Linked DNA regions of Coturnix japonica. The protein of the gene in region 1 interacts with the protein of each later gene in a biochemical or structural test. Links are inferred from orthologs where the notes say so. Each region holds a gene or a part of one and is shown in the gene's direction. Other genes may lie near its edges. The genes, in order: KPNA1 and PKM.

Region 1 (3,816 bases):
TTCTATTTGTGAAACCTGTACAACTTTTAGTGATGCAGGTGCAATTCTGTTATGTAATGTAAATTTAAGCATTTTAGTCAGTGTCTCTATGGCTCACAATTTATTAATTCTGGAAGTTGAACTGTGTGCATATGTGCACCGAAGTGACTTTGCAGATCTGTTGCTGTCAAGTTTTTATGCTTAGGTTAATGGGTGTGTTACTGTTAAATCATGTTATAGTAGTACTTCACAATGTAAATTGGAGTCTTCCTTTGATGAATTCATTGCCTTTTAGTAGAAAAGATAGATAAAGCAGTATAACAGAAAATAAGACTCAGAAAAATCAGCATGTCATTGGGTATTACTTTGGTGCAGTGGTTTTAGGAATTTTCCCCCAACAAATAAACGAATGCTTCTTAACTTTCCATTTTGTTTTAAATAGAACCAAATCCCCCAATAGATGAAGTCATAAGCACACCAGGCGTGGTGGCAAGATTTGTGGAGTTCCTCAAGCGGAAAGAAAACTGTACATTACAGGTATAAAAATATAAGTATATATCTCTTTCTGTATTATGAAGGCTTTTGGTGGTGCAAATAAGGCAGAAAATGTCATCAAATGTCATCACTTTTTTTTTTTGTGAGCTGTACTTTTCTTTATAAGAATAACACACCTATTTTACTGTGAAGGGTTCTTAATAATAAACTCAGTTGCTGGGCCTTTAATATGGCTGTGAGAGAATGAGAGAATATGGGTTTTATTGGGTGGTGTCTAACATGGGATGTTTACCTGGACTTCCTTGTATAACAAAAACAGTTTGAAAGATGGCCTTAAATGATGAAAAAAAGCTATTAAACTAAACTGTACTGTTTGTCTACTTTTATACTAACTGAAGACTGTTTTCAGTGTTCAGAATTATGACATAAAGTTTTGATTAAATTCTGAGTAGTTCAGAATTAGAGTTGAACATAAAAAACAAAAACAACAACAAAAAAAGAGAAGCCCTGAAGCTTGCTTGTTTTGGTTGGAAAAACTAAGTTGTATCTGCTACAGTTTTAGTCAATGTGTCTTGGACTTAATCCTTAGAACTGTGTCAGTCTTTCTTCTAGGCTAGTATAAAGTGGAAGGAAATTGATCTCATAATAAAAGAAAATGTTAATAATTAATGGCTAAATGTGATACATAGGCTAAATTGGTGTTTCTTCATTTGTTATTGGCTTGTGAAATCAAAAATTTAGTGCCTGGAAATATGCGAAAAGGACTTTTTCCTTGTCTTACGAAATAGAGAAAAGAGAGTTTATTGAAATTACTTTCCAAACTGAGGACAGTAGAATTGCAAAGATCTGATAGCTCCTTTTGAGAAGTACATGCACAGTAACTAAGAGCATGTATCAGATTTAGACAGTTTGTTGGTTCTGAACTCATTCTGAACACCTTCAACTCATTTAGGAAATACTGAAGTATTTTTTTGCCCAGGTATTACTTGTATGATGGATTGAATGTGGAAACTATTCTATGTTGGTAAACGTGAAACTGTGTGTCTTTATTCTGTAGGTTTCTACTGTGTTGTTAGTGGAATATCCAGTGAAAAATGAATTTCTAGTAGCAGTGGTAGGAAGGCTATATTTGTCTGGAATTCCCCTATATACATTTTTTTTCTTAAGTGATTTTCAGGTTTAAAAAAGTTGCACTCTTCCCTGTGATCATTTAAACTGTACAAGAATAACTAATTTTTTCTCATGTGATGATGAGAAAAATCTTCAAGAATGTATCAAACAAATACTAAGATGAGCCTTTTACTTTCTTTTTCTTTACCATTGTAATTGTATGATCGTAATTGTATGATTTAAAAAAGAAACTAAAAAAACTGATCTTGTGGCTGTATGGAATTTTTGCAAATTTTGAGTTCACGTAATCATAATTTTTAACTCTGACTCTTACTTTTCAGCTTCTGTTGTAATTAGCAGTCATGCTTTATCTTCACCAATTCTTCCTGTTTTTAGGACATATCATCACTGTTTTTGATCTGACACAAAAGGCTCCCAACGAATTTTCTTCTATATTTTGTTTTCCAGTTTGAAGCTGCCTGGGTGCTGACAAATATTGCCTCGGGGAATTCCCTTCAGACTCGAATAGTGATCCAAGCAGGAGCTGTTCCCATCTTCATAGAGCTGCTTAGTTCAGAGTTTGAAGATGTACAGGAGCAGGTAATATTAAGAATGGTGTTTGTTTTTTGTTTTTTGTTTTTTTGTTCTTTTTTTTTTTAAAAAACATGAAAGTACAAGACTCTTCTTTAAGAAAGTCTTGTGCCTTTAGAGGCAGTGTAGTGTCAGGCAGTTCAACATAATGTTTTTCCTCCCTAGTATGTGTTAAGGCGCAAATATTGTTTTTCAGTTGTTCTGGAAATGATTCGTTTAACCACAGCCAATGTGGTAGCGTTTTGATCTCTAGTGAGTTAACACTTTTCTGCTTGCTGAGGAATTCAAGAAACGTTGTTTAAAAAAATACTTCAGAGGTGGAAAGTTCACGTTTATTTCTCCTGAAGGTAAAACACGAATGGAAATTATAGGTTGTTCTCTAAAAATTAAGGAAAAGGAGGCAAAAGAGCAATCAAGCATGCTATAGGTCTGTTGGATGTTGAATGAAAAGGATAGTGAAGTAATGTTGCTTACTAAGCTGGTTTTTATTAATGATGAAATAAAAGAATGAATGCAGTCATTGTCCATAAGTTCTACTTGAATGCCTTTCTTACAGAGCAGATTAATATTCTTCAAGGCACAGAGAGGTCCGTATAAAGTGCAGACCAAACATTAGATTCATACAGACTCAGTAATTTCTGCTCGAGGGCAGTAACTTGTGTTTGAACAAGGTTGTATTTTAAAAAGATGTCTAGTCTTGATTTGAAGACTTAGGATGGTGAAATACCAATCGTGCTAATGAACACATCTTGAGTAATGCGTAACCCTAACTTGAACGTGTGTACCTCTACTATACAAATTTGATTAGCTTTGGGCCTGCTTATTAGCTTTTGTTTCACTGTCTACTCAGTAAGCTCTCTGCTTTTTCTTATATTTAATTACAGATGATAGCTTAATCTTTTCTTGAGCAAATGAGATTAAACTTTGAATTCTTACTATGGATATTTCTTTAGCTTTTAAAATTTTCTTGACGATCCTTTTCTGAACGCTTCTTTGTTTCATATGGTGGTGAAATAACAAGCTCTGAGTATTCCAAGTAGTACTGTTCCAGCAGTGCTGTTTGCAGAGGTAGTACCCAAAGCTCATTTCTACTTGGTTCTTCCTTGCGTGAATATTCAAGATGTCTTTGAGGACTCTTTTCCACACAAGTTTGCTGTGAGCTCAAGTTAAGCTGATTATCCAATATGATTCGTTGTTCTTTTCAGAGTCACTGACTTCCAGGGCTCAGTTCTCCATCCTGTAAGTGTGCCCTCTATTCTCTCTCCTAGATGTCTGACCTTGCATTTGGCTGTATTGAGATGCATGATTGGAGGAGTCCAACTGATAAGCACTGAATTGCTTTATGTAACTTGCCTTTCTATCTTATAGCTGGCACGGAATGAGCCACTCGTACTTAAGACTGTGTAACTTTTTCTGCAAGAAAGACACATTTCTTCAAGTTCCTTGTAGCTTTCCACTTTGCAACTTTCCATTTTCAGTGGCTTCTCTCATGCTGAATAATTTTTACCAAGGTTTTTTAAGAGAGTTTGGGTGCCTTAGAAAATTGTTTTCGAGGATACAAGTATTTTTGTAGTTCTTTTAATTTGAGGAAATGAGTCTATTTTTGAAGAAATTAGAAATGTGGTGTTGATCTTGCCAAAA
Region 2 (3,816 bases), on another chromosome or scaffold:
TGGAGGAGGACATTCAAGGATTCTTTTGTCTTATTTGCATCGTCTGCCCCGGTGTTGTGTTCAATCAACTCAAGTCTGATTATCTGTGCGGGCTTAAAGGCTGGGTTAAGCCTAGGTGCACTTGGTGTGCTGAGGTGTGTCCCCGTGTGCAGCACAACTGCAGTCACACCAGCTGCCTTGATCCCTGGGCTGCTGGCAGAGATGGGCTGAGAGCGGGCAGGGAGCGGGCAGCACGCTGCCTGTGCACTGAAGCGCTTGAATTTTGTTGCGTTGTGTAGCTGCAGGGGAAGACTGGCAATGAAGAGAAGCTATGAAGGGAACTTCTGCATAGAAGGCAGGTGAGCTTTGGGTGGCATCCATGGGGAATGACATTTAAATAGAAGTGTGTCTTGCCTGTACCTAAGACTCTCAAGTAGGAACATAACGATAGTCTGACCCAGTAGCAGCTTTCTTGTTACCTCCATATTCATCACGTGGGTGTGTTGGTGTCTCTGCATGGTGAACGAGCAGGGGCGACCCTTAAACCCGGCACCATTTTCTTCTCTCGCAGACACCGAACATCAGTAACCATGTCAAAGCACCACGATGCAGGGACCGCTTTCATCCAGACCCAGCAGCTGCACGCTGCCATGGCAGACACCTTTCTGGAGCACATGTGCCGCCTGGACATCGACTCCGAGCCAACCATTGCCAGAAACACCGGCATCATCTGCACCATCGGTACGTGGCTCCCAGATCCCACATTGTAAGCTCAAGCTGTGTTTGCTTGTGTTGGTGAAACTCGTTGTGGGAATGTGGGATGGCTTCAGCCTTTATCCGTTGCGAGGGCTGTGCCTGTCTGTTGAGACTTGACTTTCCCATGCCTGCCTGCCCAGTTTTATTGCTTGGATTAAATTCAGTGATGTCTGAACTGGTTGGGTTCAAACGAGCTCCTAGAGTCAAGTTAAGACAAAGGAGCTGCTTTCATGTTGAGCAGTCTGTATCCACTGTGCTTCACTTATGCCTCCACGTGAAACAGCCTGATGTTTGTGGGTTGTCTCATTATCATATTATTAAGTTAATATTCAAACTGTTTCCTCCTTTCAGGCCCAGCCTCCCGCTCTGTGGATAAGCTGAAGGAAATGATTAAATCTGGAATGAACGTTGCCCGCCTCAACTTCTCGCATGGCACCCACGAGGTAAGGGTGGGGATGGGGCTGACACTGCCCTGAACTTGTGACTGCTGATCCCTTCCTTCCTTCCTGCAAGAGGAGACCAAGGGAAATCCAGCTTACTCCAGAGCAGCTGTGGTAGTGTAGGAAGACAAAACTTTATGCTTGTGGGAAGTGTGCCAGCTGTAAATACCAAGAGTGCTGATAACATTTCAGTGCTTTCTGGAAGCAGTTGTTTCCACACCCTTCTGTGCACCTACCTCTACCTGGGAGCCAGATAGCTGATGTGCGAGTTCCTTCACTTCTTCCCCACCCTCATGGGGAAGTGAACTCACATTTGCTTTACAAGGCTGCTGCTTCTGAGTTACTTGTGCACCTCTGCAGCAGTACACAACTATCAGTTGTCACCCTGCTTCACTGCTGGAGGTTTTAGAAACAGTCAGTGAATAACCTTGTCTCAAAAGATATTTGTAGTAATTAGTGTGTGCATTTGAAAGAATTGAGCTTCTGGATTTGCCTGGCTAGCCAGCTGCTCAGGTTATGTTCCTGGTAGTCATGAGGAAAGCAGTTCCTCGCTTATGAGGGGCAATAAACTTCTAAGAGTAAGGTCAGAAGAAATCAACACTGCTTCTGGTGGACGAGCCCTTTTTGATATAAATAGATGAAATCCTCAGCAACGCTACAGGAGCAGATGATCCTGTTCCGGGTTGCCCAGAATGCCACCCTCAGCATTGAGAAGAGTTCTTATGCTGGCTGCCCTCCAGCCTTTAAAATGTCAAACTGTAACCAAATGACAGTTGTCTGTGGCTTTAATTAGTGAACTGTGAGCCCTGAGGTGTGTAACAGCTTGACCTCTCGCCCTCACGGCCTTTAAAGGCCACAGGGCACTGCAGAAACCAAAAGGTCTGGTGTTTAGCTGTGCGCAGCCGTTGGACCATAGCTGTATTAGCCTGTAGTAGCAGCAGTGTGCACGCTGTAGCTAACCAAAATTCAATGTAAAGGGCTGTATGGGCTGACTTCACCCCTCAGGTCATGTGCTGCTACCAGTCGGGAGGCTCAGCAAGGAGTTGGTGGTCAAGCCTGAGCCTTCTTAGCTGTCATAGCACAGTGCTGTGGTTGGTGTGCTTGTTAGCTGAGGTGAAGGAACAGGGTATGTGGCTTAGCCTGGGGAGAAGTGCAGCCCAATTGCATGTTTGGTTTAGATGGAGGTTAGGTGACAGTGGTTGGTCTTGCTGCAATCTCCTGCCCAGTTTATCTGTCAGCTCTAACCAGGCAAATCTGAGTTCTTTTCTGGATCCTCAAGCACTCTGTTGTCCACTACAGTTGCCTGAGGTTTTCACGTGCTGTGCACGTTTCAGTTCCAGTGTTTATTCTAAAACACCTAGCAGGGCTTGAGTTAGCAACTAACCAGATGCTAGACCTTGAAGCTCTCTCATGGAGGAAGTCTGCTTTTACTTCAGCCCTTGTCAGCATTCCTGTTGAGTGTAATTCTCAAGGAAGTCAGAGTCCCTAGGAGCTGGTCATTGATCTGTATCAAGTAATAAAATGTCCCAGGTGACTGAGAGCAGACAAGCCCCAGACTCTGCTCAGACATGTTTCCTCTCAGTCACAGCTGTGGTGTGTGGAAGGACCAGGTTCCTCCTCAGACTCCACTTGTGCTTTTAATAGCAAACTTAATTTTTTGTGCTCTTAAGAGTTAACTGCAGTGTGTTTGTGGCTGAGGGTGTGCACACCAACCTGAGCACAGCTTGCTGCAGCTGCATCTTCCTGATCCCAAGGCAGGTGATGTGAGGGCAGCCAGGTGATTCAGGCTGCATGCTGTCAGCCCATGCCATGGGGAGGGGAAAGGGCATTTCTTATCTTCCGGAGTCTGCCAAGTATTGCATAACTCTGTCAGGCTTATCTCTAGTGTTGTTTAAACTAGATAGCAACCTGACTTGATGATCGTCTGAAGCTTGTTTGAGATGATTGGGATGGGAATTTCCCTGTGAAACTGTTCTGACATTGGCAGTACTAACAAAATGCTCTTGTGCACGTGGAAGGGTTTTGGAGCGTGGTGTTCAGTGACAGAGCTTTGAACTCCTGGCTGTGGTTGCTTTAGCTCTCAAAATAAGATGCAAATATATAAAGGGTTAATATCCTCTGAGTTAATCCCTTGTTGCAGCGGAGATTTCAGCCAGAGTTGTGAGTGTCCACCCATATGCCAGACAGCAGAGTCCTTGGTTCAGTTGTGTCTGTGGGACTGATAGTGGGGGTCAAAAGGCAGTGGGGCACCTTCACTTTCACACTCTGAGGGGAAGAGGACAGCAGCTACGTACAACTGTCACTTAGCTGTGATGTTTTCTTGGTGTGTCAGTCCTCCAGCGAATGTTATATCATGCTTTGAGTAGTATTTGGGTTATGTAGCATGAGCATTGGAGTAGAAGTCAGCGAAAGTTTCCCTTTCTTTTCCTTTCCAGTATCATGAGGGCACAATTAAGAATGTGCGAGAGGCTACAGAGAGCTTTGCCTCTGACCCCATCACCTACAGACCTGTGGCTATTGCACTGGACACCAAGGGACCTGAAATCCGAACTGGACTCATCAAGGGAGTAAGTTACTCTTTTATTTACCCCCACCTTTTCCAGTGCCTCATACTAGATACCATTGTTCCCATGGCCTGCTT

The links.
Region 2: the proteins of KPNA1 (region 1) and PKM form a complex in vitro, tested with the Homo sapiens proteins (2 studies listed by BioGRID). The link is inferred for Coturnix japonica from reciprocal best matches to the Homo sapiens genes KPNA1 and PKM.

What each region holds. Positions count from the first base shown.
Region 1 is NC_029516.1:69,210,965-69,214,780, reverse strand, and holds part of KPNA1 (importin subunit alpha-5), read left to right. Parts: intron 1-421; coding exon 422-516; intron 517-2,052; coding exon 2,053-2,184; intron 2,185-3,816. UniProt on the Homo sapiens protein: Functions in nuclear protein import as an adapter protein for nuclear receptor KPNB1. Binds specifically and directly to substrates containing either a simple or bipartite NLS motif.
Region 2 is NC_029525.1:978,332-982,147, reverse strand, and holds part of PKM (pyruvate kinase PKM), read left to right. Parts: intron 1-278; 5' UTR 279-297; coding exon 298-338; intron 339-550; coding exon 551-720; intron 721-1,086; coding exon 1,087-1,178; intron 1,179-3,610; coding exon 3,611-3,742; intron 3,743-3,816. UniProt on the Homo sapiens protein: Catalyzes the final rate-limiting step of glycolysis by mediating the transfer of a phosphoryl group from phosphoenolpyruvate (PEP) to ADP, generating ATP.